Linked DNA regions of Neodiprion lecontei. The protein of the gene in region 1 purifies or fractionates together with the protein of each later gene. This does not show direct contact. Links are inferred from orthologs where the notes say so. Each region holds a gene or a part of one and is shown on either strand. Other genes may lie near its edges.

Region 1 (8,510 bases):
TATTTGACAGACGAATTTTGTTAGTTACTATGACAAATGAAATTTTTCTCAGTGTGAGGTCGAATTTTTGGAAAAATAGTGAATTAATGATTTTTACGACTATAATTCGGACGTTTTTGACATTTTGTCATTTTGCATTTTAACGCATATTTGTGCGCATGAAAGAAACTGCACCCGGTCACAAATGAGAAGATTTGTAGCTTTTCTCTCAGCTGCAGGTACGACGCTGAAGAGAAGATTGATCTTGTTGTATAACACGAGTTTGCGCTACCTCGACAAATGTGTTTCTATGTCGAACCTGTGGCCCCAAAAATATCGCGTTCTTCACCTTCGAGATCACAGCCATTCCAACCTCGTGTTCTTCTTCGTCCGTTCAGTTAGCTTCGCATAACGTCTTTCATCCGCTCTTTCTCTTTTTTCATTGAATTCTTGCGATTTCCTGTTTATAAATCGGTCGACACTGAATGTACGGAGATAAAAAAATAAGGTTGCGTGAATTCTTTCATCTCGTAATATCTAATGCCAACTGATTAAAATCTACGTACAACGAAACCGTCAAAAGTCTCATTCTTAATGGAATCTTAATCCAATACTTGCGAGATTGGTAATTGTCGAATATAAATTCTGCGCTGTATCTTACGAAAAATTTGGTGCTCTTACAGACGCAGCGTCGGCTAGTAAGAAATAGAAACTGCGTCAACCGATAAGGAAGCTACGAAGAAGCGAAGTGCGCAGCAATGGATATTTCGAGTCGTTGAAACGGCGTGAAAAAATGAACCGTGTGCACAGGGCTTAATTTGGCTGACGATGAATCAGGTGGTTGGTTGGCCAAAAATTAATACTTTTTGCTCATTTTGTAACGAGATTGTCGTGAAACCAGTATTTGACGAACTATTGTATTCGCAGGCTCCGAAGATCTCTTCGACGATAAGAATGTTGAAAAAACTGATTGTGAAATTGTGAACAAAAGCTTAGATATCGATAATTCATTTAAGATCGCTTCAAAACAGTTAAAAATCTAGTATCCAGATTCGTTCGTGCTTAGTAGACGATAACTTATTGAATAAATTGAGTCGTCAAGTGAAATCGAACAAATCTAATAGATTTCAAACAATTTTGTAACGATCAAAAATGAACCATCGATAAAACGAAGCTCTCGTTTACGATTCCGTTAATTTCTATTCTCGTATTCCGAAAGTTAATTTCATCACAGCTTTCGAACACAATTATTCGATAAAAACTTATCGTGCAAATACTCTCGTGTGATAAAATTGATGAACAAACAATACCGATTTTTGGCGTGAGTAATTTCTAGAAACCGACGTCGACGCGTATTTGTTATAAATAATCCGCAACCCTCGTAAATTACGGACACTGTTCGCCTAAAAATGGTCCATACTCACCCTGTGATGTTCCTTTCTACGCACTAGTTACTCCGTGCGCGTGACGTTCGCAAAACGTTTGAAACTGCACGGCTTCTCGCGTGTGCGGGAAATCTTTACATGAGTGGATAAAAAAACTTGGGATGTGTGCGTGGCACGTGGTTTTCCCGCCGCTTTGAAGATCGAGATACCTTCTAAAATCGTGGCAATAGTCACACACGCCAGAATGTCATCTCCGTGGTTTATGATGAGTCAGTATAGAATTCCGCCTTGCGAAATTCACCCCACTGACTAGATCTGCGGTCTCGCCTAATTACTTCAAAATTCTACTCAGCCAGCCCAGCAACCGAGCTTGCCAACTCCGCCGCACCTGTTTCATTGTCCCGTCGACTCATCCACGCGAACACACACCGAGAAAAATTTCGTTTTTGTATTAACTAGAAAAATTCAGTAAAACGGGTATCGTTGAAAAAACACTGTTTGAATATTGTTGGAATTACGAAAAACGAGGTATTTTCGATCCTTTTTTGGTAATTGCAACGCAAAATCAGTTTGTGAGGTTTACTCTACTTTTTTAGTTAAACAAGGCTTTGACGTCAATTTATCGTTGCATAAGCGTTAAACTTTCGTAACGGTTACGAAAAAATATAGCAACAGTGATCGTAATGAGAAAGAATTGTGTTTAATATACGGTTCTCAACTATTTTCGTTCATTACAATAATCGAATAACATGAGTTCTGGGCACAAAAGTAAAGTGAGTTTTGTATCCGTAGAAAAAAAAAAAATCCAGTTATTTTGTAACGTATCTTGTCGTGAAAAAATGTAGTAAATTAAACGACCAGATTTAACATTCCAATAACCAGAAAATATATTATCGGCAATTACAATTACACCAAACACGTTACTTGTACTACATTTTCTAGTAAAATTGAAAAAAATATCCAAACCGTTGTTGCAACTATACCAACCAACTTTTCTACAATTTCCCGTTAACTGTACGAATGAAATTTTCCTCATCGTATATAAACGCAGATTTGATTTCAGCGTTATTGCATGGACGTGACGTGCGACATCCATATCTGCCAAGTTGTTACGCGTCAACGATCTAACGAGAAAACAAGAGATTAGGGAGGGAAAAATAAAAACAGGTAGAAAGAAGACGGAAAAATTGAAGGAAAAGAGAAAAAAAAATAAAAAATTCTCCAAAATTAGATCGTCCGCGGTCGTTAGGGTGCCGGAAGATTATTTTTACTCCCTTTTCTTTTTTGTTTTGTTTTTTTTTTTTGTTTTCATATTACAACGACGTCGTTGACAGCCGACGGCGACGTCTGATTCGCGTGGGTCGCGAGGATCCGGTCGACGCTCGCGGATTTTGACGTTGCGTATCGACCATCAATGAATTTTTCATCTCGGCGGACGTCGAGTAGCCGCGGACCGATCGCCCTGGAATTATTTATACAAAACACGTTGAAATTTAGAGCCACGATAATATACAGATATAATTATATGTGTATAAGCATACGTGAATACATAATATATGTATACCTATATGTATGTATATGTATATATATATATATATATATATATATATTGTTGTGTTAGGTAATGTTTCTACAGAATTCTGCTTCTCTAATTTTTTTTTGCCAACGCTCATTGTCAGCGTCTGTCGCTTATGTGCGTGTGTAGCGTCTTACGTCATCGTCGGAACACCGGCAATCGGTGACGACGCAAAAATTCTAATATTGCACATGTGTATAACATATATATATTCACACATATGACGTATACATATCCTAGGGTGGTCCGTGTTTTCGACTTTTTCGAAATTCTACCGGGAAGTCCTCTAAATTGTTTCTAAATAATTATATAGAAATATCCTCAAAAGCAGAGATATATCTATATGAAAATCTGAACACTCTCGCAAGGTTTGTGAAGTTTGCAATTGGAAATATACACCAAGTTCGATATAAAAACCGCCCCAACATATCAATAATAATAATATACTAGAGAAAAAAAGAATTCCCTCTCATTTTCATTTTTCAATGAATAAATTCTGATTCTATACATCTAATAATAACCGACATCTTCATCTATCATAATTCTTTTTCTCTTTTACGCTGATAAACAAGTCTCGAAGTTTTTGATCAATAGTATAAGCAGCAGGTAGCGGCACGTCGAAATAAAAAGCAAACCTTATCTACGAATAATGCTATTTCTTTTTTCATTAGTTACGTGGAAGAAATCAACATTTGACATCTGGCACCTAGACTCGAAATTCGTGATGACCGTTAAATTATTGAAGCACAGTCGATTTTCTAATTGTGTTATTATGCGACGCTAAACGGCTTAGCGGATCGTGATCCAGACCTTTTTTTACCCCCCCCCCCCCCCCCTTTGATCGCTTTTTTTACCCCCCGATGGTCGCCCGAGACTACATGGAAAATTCTTATATAGGTCCTCGAATTTATCACTATAATATATATAAGTTAAGCATTCGGAATGCCAGAGGTATTGCAGCCAAACTTTTTGCCAAATAATATATCTGCAATATTATACATAATAATAATAATAATAATACATTTTTTACCTCAAAACTATGACCATTGCGTTACGCAATCGGTACACTGTTAGAAAAATTTAACTACACACAATGTCCCAGCAGGTTCATTTTATATTTCAGTTATTTCTTAAATTTCTGTTGGTAAATATGACACAAATTGTTGTCATTTTCAACATTTAATTCACACGTTGTACTTTATTTTTCGAACAGTAACACATTATGAAACGGTTAAACGAACCGAAAAATTTTAGTGGACCAGCTGGAGAATTTTTTTTCCAACCGTGTAATTGCGTTCAAATTTTTTAAATTACGATCCAAGTACTTTACAGAAATCCGAATCACGGCGATGAAATTAACCTGGCACTAAATTGCGCCGCGTTATCACCGGAGAAAACTATTCTCTGAAATATGTGCCAGTTCTGGCATATCAATAAACTTTTCCCGGAGTGGGGATCGTCCGGGTTTTTCCACCCCTTTCAGCCTGCGATTAAGAATATCTATATTCGTGAAGAATTCGGTGATTACGAAACCTAGTCGAAGAATGAATCGCGATGTTTGAGGGATACGTTGTAAATTTGTAACGCACGTATCGCGGACTCGCGAAGAAGCTTGAACGTGGAAAAATACGATCAGTATCGTTCAGAACTGATATTCAGCTTGCGTCGCACCGGTTAGCTGTACGAGACACGCGGACGAATCGTGTTAAACACTTTGTTTTCTCGGATTCGATGTTGTTGCACACACGTGCGTTTGCGCCTCTCTACTTGAAACAAACCGATTTTTCAATATTTTTCCAAGCTTTGGTACAACGGTTGTGTCAGTGTTTGTTCGCGCGGAGCTTTAATCCGGCCTCTCGAGACGCAAAACAGGATTCAGGGTCGTCGTGTTGTTTTTGGACGGAACCTTCGCCCCGCGCGCCTCAATTATAGCCCGTCAACCTCTCATCGATAATTCCTTCTCGACGTATCCTCCCGCTTTTGATGCTTCGAGATCACAACGAGCGAGAGGACCAGATTTCCCCGTCTTTGTAAAACTGGCCTCCGCGCTCTTTTATCGCTTCCAAAACACGTGCGGGGCAATTTTTTTCACACATTATTCATCGCTTTTAACTGCCTCGACGGTAATATTGGAATACGTAACGAGCCGATTTGATTTCGCTGCAAGTTGGCGTGATTGGTTACAATATTGTAAAAATAAAGAAAACGAGCCATTATTATAGAGTGAAATCGAATTATTTTACCAGATTTTTAACCATTTCCAATTTGGGCTTTTGTTTCACAGAATTCTAGTATATTATATTTTTATATTTTCAAAGAGATCGTGTTTGTTGTTTACGAGTATAAAATGATTCGCCGAATACTCGATCTACAACTATCTTCTAATAAAATTGATAACAGGTACACTTAGAGAAATTTTTAGTCCTTAACTATTTTCATTTTTTACCACAATCGAAAAACATAGTTCTAGGTAGAAAATGAAAATCAGTTTTATAGCTGTTACCGGAAAGTCTAGTATCCGTTGCTATTCTTTCTCATTACGATCTCTGTTGGTATATTTTCTTCCAACTGTTGCGAAAATTTAATGCTTGTGCAATAGGGTGGTCCTCGTTTAACATGTTGACGAATTTATTCCGGATCACCCCACCAAGTCAACTATAAATAATTCTAAAACAATTCACAATTTTTTTCAGATTTTTATATCAACCGTAACCCGTGCCTGTAAGAGGAAGGATTTCCCAATTTAAAATACACGTGTTTCGGACACGTTCTTAGTATATATTTTACTGTAAGAGTAATAATGTTCGAAAAAATCCATGAATGTGAGATTCTAATAAGCATTAGTGCTACTATCTTAGAAAAAATTCACATCATCACACCAGGTAATATAGACAATTGCATTTCTTATAAATAAAAGGAAAAAGTCAAATTTCTAGGGTCTGCAATTCGTCGAGACTGGTTGGTACGATGATGTGAATTTTTTCTCAGATAGTAGCACTAATACTCACTAAATCTTCGCAATTACAGACTGATTCGAACATCGTCACTCTTACAATAAATTATATGCTGAGAATGTATCTGAAACAGGTGTATTTTAAATGGTGATATCCATCCATTTACAGGCACGGGTTAGAATTGATATAAAAATGTGAAAGAATTAGGAAATTGGTTTTGACTTATTTATAGTTGATTTGGGGGGTGGTCTGAAAAAAAATCATCAACACCCTAAGTAAGGATCACCCTATTTAACTAAAAAAGTAGAGTAAACATCGGAAACTGATTTTGCGTTGCAATTACCGAAAAAGGATCGACGATATCGCAAAATGCTCAGGCGTACCTCGTTTTTCGCAATTCCAACAATATTCAGACAGTTTTTTTTTAACGATACCTGTTTTACTCAATTTTTCTCGTTACTGTAACAAATGAAATTTTTCTCAATGTACCCATCTTCTTTCAGTAAACAATTATTTGCAGTCGGTATGATTTTTTTCCATCGTGAAGAATAGAAGATAATTTAAGATCATCAGACTCGAGCTCGTACTGGATAACGCAATTAATCTCAAACAAGACGAGGAATTTGTGCTATTCGTGCAGAAGATAATTTTCTCCTCCGCGATCGGACTCGGAACTTCATTCAGAACCCTGCAGGGTGTCCCCACATCACGTGAGGTGATTTAGATTCTTGGCATCCGCGTCGCGATTTATCTGCAGAAAATATCTAATACGCAGCTAAGCGTGAATCTGCATGAGAGTTTGAAAATTGGATCGAGTTTATGTTTAGCCGAATACCGAAAGGGGCCGGCAATAAGCGCGGAGCTTGATTGCGACAGGCAGTTTCTGCGAATGTGTTGAGTGCATCGTAAAGATGAGTCTCCCGCTTTCGTACGTCACGTAGCGATTCATTGAGGCTTTGGCTTGTTGTACCGGATTTAATTTTGTACTTCCGCCGGCCGTCCGACTCTAGGAATTTGTTTATTCGAGGGAACTCGCAGAGGATCGGCCTGTATAGGAGATTCTTGATCTCGCGCTGCACGGAGGAGCGGGAATAAGATCTTTTACACGTTAATTTCGAGTGATTCTTCGCCCTCACGGCCGGCCAATTCGACACGAAATACGGCCTTGGATACGGCCGGAATGTTTTCGGATTCCAGAATCTACATCCCGAGGCATGCAGCGAGAGGCCTGAAAAAGATTTGACGCTTAAAATTAGCCTCGAATACTCAAACGCAAGCCTTGAATAACTCGGCGCCGATGCGTTGCTCCGACTCATCCCTCTTTTTTAACTGCAGGGCAGGTCTAACTTTCTCTTAGTTTGGATTTTGAGAAAACATTTCTCTTTCTATATCCACGGATTTTTACCACCGAGTAATCTCTACTCTACACTTCTTCGCTGCTTATAATAAATGTCAAGAGAAAAAATATACCGCTGGTTAAAGTTTAGGCTTCGATCGTATAAACCTGAAATTATTTCAAGAACCGGAAGCTGAATTAACCCCGACGAGATGTCGTTGAGATAGAGAATCGTACGAGAATCGACTGAAATTGAAATTTCTTACCAAGTCTCGAAAGCAATCGGAATATAATTCAGAGCTTTCCGATTGCCACGTTTTAATCGCTCCTCAAACGATTAATCGTTAATTTCACTATTTTTCACACTCATTATGGCGAAACTTGTCACATTTTGTCCGATGAAAATAAATGAAAATAAATGTAGAAACAAATTGGATAGATTTTGGTTCTTTCGTTCGACGATTGATGGTCGAAAAATTTACATCTACCAGCCGGATAAGTCGACTTGCGGCTTTTTGAACGGAATGTCCATCAACGTAACTTACATAATTTTAAATATATCAGCACCGATATTTCAACGAGATTGATTACGTTAATTCGCTATTCCCGAGTTTCCAAATCGGAAAGCTTTCGCGAAGACGAGTTCCTTTGTAAAATATAAGAGACTGGCGAATTTTTACATTTACGATCGTAGGATGGGTGGGACCCTAATTTTTTTCGTTGACATAAAACAACAAGAGAAAATATATGCTCAGCAGACGCACGAAGGATGAGGTTATCGCTCTCTCGGTATTTTCGACATCCGAAAAGTCAATCCCCCCGAAAAAAATTCCTCAATAAAGTCAACGGATAGTAATTTAACGTTACCGATCTACTTTGATAATTTTCCGAACTCGGCCGGAGGTGAGATATTAAATCGAGTTGTGAAAAATCGCACTCCCGTCATTCATGCGGACGGCCAATACCGAAGTTCTGAAATTGGCTCGGTACGCGCGGACAATAATCGGCGGACTTCTTCGCCGGTATGCGGCTACGGTAGGTACATATAGATTTATAAATACACCTATAGAGGCCGAAATTATTCCCCCGCCGTCGGCGCACGCGAAGCTTAGGAGAGCTCGCGTAAGTATAAGTTTTTTGGGGGGAGATTTTAGGCATCGACGAGCTTGTTATAAAAGGACGCTCGGCATCCCGACGTCTTTACTCACTAAGCACACGCTGCTCCGGCAGAGCTAGAGACTCTCTGTGAAGAAAAAAACCAAGAGAGACGGAAATTATTA
Region 2 (8,510 bases), on another chromosome or scaffold:
CGTTAGACATCTCGGCATCATCGTCCAAGTGTCGTCTCAGTCCAGCTTCTAAGTCTCTTTGTCTGTCCCTATTGTGCCTTTCGCCTCGACCTCCTTTGCCAATCCTTGACGTTTTAAACGATACCCTTGGTGCGGAGTCACGATCAGAGTATAACGTTCTGTCATCGTGACCTAAGGAGGACAAAACGGTTAATGAAAACTGACTTATGTATCCCTAACTTGTTCAAAGAAATCCTGAAGTGTCGGTGTGTTACAGAGGTTGCATACAATCACAAGTGAACCATTAGTCTATGATAAGAGCAGTGAGGTACTGACGTGTGCTAAAAAAATCGTGCTTTTTTACCCCTAGAGTATACTAAATTATATTTAAATATACTCAAAACTTACGCACTCGTTTCAAGCAAAATTAACCTCTTCTTAGTTAGTATGATTCCATGTTGTAAAAAGAACAATTTGTAAAAAAGGAATACTTACCGTAGTATTGTCTTCTTTCGGAGTTATCTCGTCTTTGCTGTGGTTGATGGTTATTCCAGCCACGACCTTTGCTATTTTTTCTGGGCATTTTGGTTCAAAACAATTACCCTGTGCACTCGGAAATGCTCGGAAAACACTGTATCTGACAAAATTTTCCACTTTTCGTGTTGGGCATAAAGCAATGTATATATAAGGTCAACTTCTCCAGTATAGACTGTTGTTTCAGCAAATATGCGGCCACGAAATATAGTTTAGCAGGCTGCCACTGGAGTGCGCGACGAGCGTCGTGGTGATACTGTTGAATCAGGTCATCAAATTTAATAGCGAATACAGAGAGGTTTCTCTTGGCGAATACACGTGTCGTATCGTTCACCGATTCTACAACCGTGTTTTGTCGTACTTGTGGTCAATTTCGAGGGTTGCCGTATACTTAAATACATTATAAGTAACGTCGTGGTAACTGCTTGGTAATCTTTACCTCAAAAGTTAACGGCAGCTTCGCGCTGCTGGCTGCCGCGGCATTTCGTTGCCCGTGAAAATCTAGCCTAAAACTGCGCAGTCTATCTGTATTTAGTCTATGCTCTCATGTAGTGCTTACAATGACAGTTCTGCTTAACCTATGATTTTTAACCTCTAATGGAATCTAGATCTGGAAAAATTTGCTTCAGGTCATAATCAGATTAATTTTGACCTAAGAAAAAAGGATAAAATGTCGTTGTACGAGGGTATCAGGTTAATTTCGGACAAGCAAACCGTTGTTTTTGACATTGGAAGCGCATATACTAAGTGAGTGTACAAAAGATAAGTAATCATTAATTAGTGAATTCTTACCAAGCTTGAGACGATACTTAGATTCATTACATCACCAGATATGGATATGCTGGAGAGTCGGTACCTCGCGGCATAATAAAAACTGAAGTGAAATGTCCAGAATCTGGGAAAATAAGGAAGGTATTCTCTTACGAGGATTCACAGGACTTGTATCAGCTTCTAGTCGAATTCATTCACTTACTCTTCTTCAGGTAATTTTAAAATCATTATACACAATTTACAAATTATATGATTGGACGAATTCAAAAAAAAAATCTCGATGGGACCAGTACTGATGCAATTTGTTTCAATTTATAGGCACGTTGTTGTCAGTCCCAAAGATATAAAAGTAATTATTGTTGAGTCTATATTGACTCCAACAGAATTTCGAGATACTTTGGCTAAAGTATTTTTCCGACACTTTGAAATTGGTTCCTTGATGCTTGCACCTTCCCACTTGGTTGCTGTTAGTACTTTGGGAGTTTCTACAGCATTGGTATTAGACGTTGGATATAAAGAAGCAACGTTGATTCCGATTTACGAAGGTGTGCCAGTTCTCAAGGCATGGCAGGCCTTGCCACTGGCAGGACACGCGGTCCATGAGTAAATTGAATATTTCAGATTTTTCTAATCTGCTTAAACGATGAGCATCGTATTCAATATTAGTATCTGTTGCTTACAGGTGCATAAAGAAAGAATTGAAAACCGTCCTGCCTAACGACGGCAGTGACGTTGAGAAAACAATTGAAGATATCAAAGTTAGAACCTGCTTTGTTACCACAATAGAGCGGTCTCTCAAATTGCAAACTGATGAACCACCAATTGCACCTCCATCAGTTAAATATCCTGGAGTCAAAACTATAACTGTACCCGGATCAGTACGTGAAAAAGCTTTCGAATTATTGTGGGAGCGAGACAATGACAATTTGAGTGTACCAACCATGATACTAGATGCTATAGTGAAGGTAACCATTATGTACTAATAATGTGAATATTAGATTGATTAATTTTATTAGATTTCTTTCCAAAAATGTGACCGCTTACCAATTATTCTGTATTTTATTGTTCATTGCAGTGCCCTGTAGACATGAGACATCCGCTTGCTGAAAATATTCTGCTGATTGGAGGAACGACAATGGCAAAAGGATTTTTGCCACGTTTGAAATCTGAACTTTTGACATTACTGAAGAGTAACTTATATTCTGAGAAATTAAAAATAAGTACAGTCAAGTTTCATAAGGCACCAAGCAAAGCTAATTACACAGCATGGCTTGGTGGTGCTATATTTGGTATTGCAGATTTGCCACTACGTTGTTTGACGAAAGAAAATTACCTCATGTCAAACAGAGTCCCAGATTGGGCAAGCTTAATTGATAATCAGAAATCAGACTCATTGATAAATAGTATGTAAACTATTATGTCTACCTAATTCGTAAAAAAATTAACCTGATACCTAATGTTCTTATAAAGTTCCAATTTTCAACAGTGAGGTAGTAACCCAATTAAAAATCGTTACTCAAAATTAATGTTTTTTTTTTTTTTCTTGCATAGAATTTACTTTATTCTATAATGTCACAAAACGGTTTAAAATGATATGTTGGAACGAGATGGTCTTATTTTTAGCAGTCACGAGGAACTTCAGATGCCTGTAATGTAAAATATATTTAATAATTTATAATTCGTATAATAAAGAAATTGTAAGAATAAAAAAAATCGATCACATTCATACTTTGTATCAAACTAATTTCATCTAATTTTGGTTCGACCTAGTTATATATGTTTTATTGCGGAGAAATGTGTACGTGCACCCACTGAGATTTGTGATATTTCCCGTCGCCGGGTGACAATTCGAGAAATAGTGAAAAAAAAGAACAGCTGTGAAGGAGAAAGGCGCGCAGGCGCTTCGTCATGAGCCGGCTTTCGATCTCTAGACTTCCTCTTCCTGTAGCTCGGCACAATGGCGTCCGGAGTAAGTGTTTTTACGCGAAATATTCTTCGTAAAACATCACCGTCTTGTTCGACGAATCGGTCACGTGAATGCGTGCAATATGACAATTAAACATCATACATTTATATGGCGTGTAAATTTTTTTAGACCCTGTACACGTACCCAGAGAACTTCAGGGCCTACAAGGCGCTGATCGCAGCCCAATATTCCGGTGCTAAGGTTAAAATTGCCGAAGATTTCATTTTCGGCGAAACCAATAAGAGCGATGCCTTCCTGAAAAAATTTCCTCTTGGAAAGGTGAGATTAATTTCTATTTTGGTTACATTTTTTTTATACGTCTATCACTGAAATATCATCAGTCATCGATGGATTCTGTCTTAAGTCTTATCGCCGTGGTATGCTGACACCGCTTTATGTCACGCATATTTTACTGCCGACGTGTTTTTAATAACGCCGAATGTTTGTTGAAGGTTCCAGCTTTCGAGACTGCTGATGGCAAATATATCACCGAAAGCAATGCAATTGCTTACTATGGTATGCATAATCAACATTTTTACCCTCAGCTAAAAATATTTTTTCTCTTTATTGTTTTCATTCGTTGTTGTTTTTTTTTTTATCTTTTTCCTTTTTAATTAATTTTTACAATTCAAGAATAACATATTATACGTTGTATGCATTCTACCTCTTAATTAATTTCAATACGTGATATTTATTTAAATATTTGTCTTCTGCTTCAATTTCACATCAGTATTGTGAGCTTGATGCTGAATTATACATATACTTTGGGTGACAGATAGGTATGAAATTTTCACGTTTTATGACATACAATTTCCGAAACAACTGGTTTTAATTTCTATCATTTATTGTTTTTGCCGATCTCTTTGCCAAAAGTTTGTGCTATTTTTGTGTTTCTAGTTGCCAATGAGCAGCTGAGAGGCAAAACTGACATTGAGAGAGCAGAAATTGTGCAATGGTTTGGATTTGCCGATTCGGAGATCCTTCCTGCCAGCTGTGCTTGGGTTTTCCCATTATTAGGCCTCATGCAATACAACAAACAGGTATGAAATTCTTGTCCACCGTAAAACAAAATTTTCTTATTTTACAAAGAATTCAATGTTCATGATATTTTATTACAGTTTAGATTTGGCTAAAGTTGTTCTGCAAAACTGCATAAACATGAGAAATCCCATCATGGCATTAGTTTGACATTTATCACATCGCCTTTGTTCAAAGACGAGCCTGAATGTTTTAAATTCAAGTTTCGTAACACGAGAAGGCAGATGAATCTATGCTGAATATTCAAACGCATCTGTCATTCTTTTATACATTTGCGTACCAATATTGCTGACATTGAAACAAATAATTAGCTACCTTACTATTGCGATGAATGTTTTCATATGTTCTTCAGCTTGCATAATACGTTTAACGTTTTACTTCTCTTATCCCCAAAAAAAAAAAAAAAAAAAAAAAATTAAATAATATCAAAACTATCCAGTGTTTTAAACATTGTACAGGTACTGGGTGTATCAGAGAACATATTAGCAAGGATTTTGCAATTTTCGTAATTAATCTTTCAGACTATAGAACATGCCAAGGACGATGTTAAGAAAGCTTTGACAGCTTTGAATTCACATCTATTAACAAGGACGTACTTGGTTGGGGAACGACTTACTTTGGCAGATATTAGTGTTGCTACAACTCTACTGCATTTATATCAGTATATTTTGGAACCGAGTTTACGCAAGCCGTATCAAAATGTGAACAGATGGTTCCAAACTGTTATATATCAGCCAGAGTCCATCAATGTAATCGGTGCTTTTAAACTGGCTGACAAAACTCTTGAATATGATCCCAAGAAGTTTGCTGACGTTCAAGAAAAAGTGAGCAAAAAATATAGATATACAGTATTGTTCATGTGAAATACCATTTATTTATAAAATACTACCTTATTCCAAAATATGTTGCATGGTACTATGAACTTGTGGCTTTAGTCAGCAGCTAGTAGTAATTTCGAAGTATTTTATCATCAATAATTAGCAGTCAAAGTATTAAATAACCGTTCATCTTCAGTTTGTCATATACCGATCTACTACTGAACAGCTTTCAAATATTATGAATTTTTAGTCATCTGCAAAGAAAGAAAAGAAGGAAAAACGAAAGGAACAGAAAAAGGAACCTAAAGAACCTCGCGAGGCAGATGTAGATTTAGCTGATGAAATAGCAGCTGCTGAACCCAAATCTAAGGATCCATTTGACACAATGCCTAAAGGTACTTTTGATATGGATAGTTTCAAGCGTTGTTACTCCAATGAAGAAGAGACTGTCTCCATTCCTTTCTTCTGGAAAGAATTTGATCCTGAACATTACAGCATCTGGTTTGGAGAATACAAATACCCTGAAGAGTTGACAAAGGTAAACTCGTTATACTGAATTCTCTGCCGGGATTTGAATTTCATTCAGTTTTTCATGTAGCAAGAATATTTTTGGAGATATTATGAATTACCTACGGTTAAAATATAATCATATTTAAGATTGTATTCGTTAATCTTACATTGTCCAGGTGTTCATGTCTTGCAATCTCATTGGTGGCATGTATCAACGACTTGACAAAATGCGGAAAGCTGCTTTTGCCAGTGTTTGTCTTTTTGGAGAAGACAACAACAGCACAATCAGTGGAATTTGGGTATGGCGTGGACAGGATTTGGCATTTACGGTGAGTGTATATATGAATTTCTTACAAATTGAACTTTCTGTACCATGTCGAAAACATTTGGTTGTGGATATTGTGAGCCATGGTCACTTATTTAGCATCCTTTGGGGGATATATTGGATTTTATATTAATCGCCAAGTGGCTTATATAATGTTGAATGTTTCTACAGTAAATTAATTTTCCATACAATTTGTTTTACTGTAGCTAAGCCCCGATTGGCAGATAGATTACGAATCGTATAAATGGGAAAAATTGGACCCAAACAAGGATGAAACTAAAGCACTGGTGAAGCAGTACTTCAGTTGGACTGGTACTGACAAACAGGGGCGCAAGTTTAACCAGGGAAAAATCTTCAAATAAAGCTCCGAAAAATACTAATTTACACGAAACAAATAATAAAGAATGAATAAAAATAAATTGCAGCTACAAGATTTTCGATGTAAAACCTCCACGATTCCTCTACAGTACTATATGTCTATTAACATCCCAGCTTGAAAATTATTTACGTGCATATTCCAGTTTACTGCTATGTGATTACTTTGAAATATGGGCAATTGTTGAATCCCTCAAGCAATATAATTTTATACGTCATAAAATTTTACTGTTGACAAATAACAATTGACAACCTCGTTTTATTTGTAATTTAAAGAATTCGTATGCTCTATTTCATTTGTTATTAATAGAAATAAATACTAACTGTAATATTTGCACAATAATATGAATTTTGATTATTGCCCTTTACTTTAGTACTTTTATGGCTGCAAAACTCATCTGACATTTCCCCGTCATGTTTGACTTTGTTTTTGAAGATACTAAAAAAACATTGGTCTACAAAAATAACGTGAAACACTACTAAAGCCATAAGTAGTTAAATCCAAAATAGGCATCATGTAATTATCAATAACAATAATAGTGTTTATTCAGCTGATTAAATATACAACAGGTTGTGTACATCTATTACCTAACTATTTAATTTTAAAGGCCTTTTGTAGTCAGCCATTCTTTAATGCGGATGACTTGGTCCCCTTTAAATTTTAATATGCCTGCAACTTCGTGAATTTGGGTACCAATTGATTTTCCAGTGGTTTCTTCCAAGTGTTTTTTCAGCTCAGCTTCGAGGAGCCATATATCTCCTTCAATTTTACGAAGGATTGTTATTCTGCGCATACCTCGAAACGATCGTTGAAGGTAAACTGGTTGTAAGTAGTTCCTGGTTCTGCTAACGAAATATGGTAGCTTCAGAGCATCCTCTGTGGAAAAATGAAGTTAACAAGACTGTATGATTTTTATTGTACAATATTGGCGAATTGCTTTAACAGTAGCATTTGAACAAATGTAGAAAATGAATTAGTATTTATGTATTTCAAGTTTATAAATTAATTCTTTCGAATTTGTTTCCCAGTAAACATGTCGTGAGTAGTAATTATATCATAAAATTGCAGAATTTAATTATGGAAATGTGATTTCTTCTGACCAGATTGAGGCGCCCAGCCTGATGGATACTGCTTGGCTGTAGATGTCGGAGCAGGCGGTACAGTTTTTGGCGTCAGGAGTCGTTCCACATATAGCCATTCTTGCGGATCTTTTGAAATTTCAAAATCTGTGTACTGAGACGGATCCCCTACCTGTGGAGAGCTTTTGAAAGAGCTATACCTTTCTTGAATCTGTAAAATGATTTAAGTAAAATTTTTCCGTACGTCATGAACAAAAGTACATCAAATTTCAATCGATGCTCATTAAAGAAAAATGAATCACTTAATTTTGTTTCTAGATATTTTAGATCGCAAAGGATCAATTAGTCTTTTTCCTTTCTTTAGTTACTTTTTGCTTATTAATATTATGACGTTTATACAAATCTATTTAAAAAGAGCAACGATGAAGGCAGGAGTACTGTTTGGAAACCAAATTAACTGAATACAAGGCGTACAGAATGGCAAAGAAAAAAAGACAGCGGTATTCAAAGTCTCAAAGTATCCTCAGACACAAGGACAAACCGTGTTGTGCTTTTTTAGAAATGAAAAAATATCGACATTTAGAAAGATCAGAAGCTGATTCATTGCCAATCAAAGATTATTTTGAGGTTATACTATATTGCTAAAAGCGTAAAGCACGGTTACTTATGATGGAAATATATATTAATATGATAATAATGAAAAAGTGATGAAAATTTCGTAAAATGACACAAGTAGTAGAAGATAAAGGTTCGTCGTCAGGCCCTTCCCACGAGCTACGTGGAAACGGAATTTTAGAATATTCAGAGGAACGATACCACGTCCCGAGAGTCAAAATCAAAGCACGAAAAGTTAGTCAAGTACCTTGCAATTGTTGTAAACTGTATTTTTCGTTAGATTGCTAGCCAAGGTCTTTGAAAAAATATGTGAAAAGCAGGGTCTTGCGAAAATTCTAAGGGCAGCCATTTTAACTTCGGTAAATAAGGGTCGGTGGCCGCCATTAATGTGTATGGGCGCGTCTCCTGTTCGTTCCTGAAATTCTACCGTAAATCGAAGCGTCGGGAGTGTTTTTTGTAAAATTGGCGGATCCGTTAGTAAGTTCCTATCGTGAATAAA

Evidence for each region.
Region 2: the proteins of elongation factor 1-alpha (region 1) and elongation factor 1-gamma purify together in Homo sapiens (affinity purification with mass spectrometry; 4 studies listed by BioGRID and IntAct, counting the BioPlex papers as one, with this or other methods). This does not show direct contact. The link is inferred for Neodiprion lecontei from reciprocal best matches to the Homo sapiens genes EEF1A2 and EEF1G.

The regions. Positions count from the first base shown.
Region 1 is NC_060263.1:36,483,268-36,491,777, forward strand, and holds the start of elongation factor 1-alpha, read right to left. Parts: upstream 4,096-8,510; 5' UTR 3,971-4,095; intron 1-3,970. UniProt on the Homo sapiens protein: Translation elongation factor that catalyzes the GTP-dependent binding of aminoacyl-tRNA (aa-tRNA) to the A-site of ribosomes during the elongation phase of protein synthesis.
Region 2 is NC_060265.1:25,263,233-25,271,742, reverse strand, and holds elongation factor 1-gamma, read left to right. Parts: upstream 1-3,195; 5' UTR 3,196-3,241; coding exon 3,242-3,253; intron 3,254-3,379; coding exon 3,380-3,529; intron 3,530-3,702; coding exon 3,703-3,766; intron 3,767-4,147; coding exon 4,148-4,290; intron 4,291-4,809; coding exon 4,810-5,112; intron 5,113-5,356; coding exon 5,357-5,644; intron 5,645-5,792; coding exon 5,793-5,945; intron 5,946-6,147; coding exon 6,148-6,303; 3' UTR 6,304-6,360; downstream 6,361-8,510. Other genes in the region: nuclear RNA export factor 1, read right to left, coding at 1-171, 475-562; actin-related protein 10, read left to right, coding at 1,184-1,260, 1,344-1,496, 1,603-1,887, 1,967-2,249, 2,360-2,695; probable 39S ribosomal protein L49, mitochondrial, read right to left, coding at 6,919-7,193, 7,418-7,607, 8,259-8,360. UniProt on the Homo sapiens protein: Probably plays a role in anchoring the complex to other cellular components.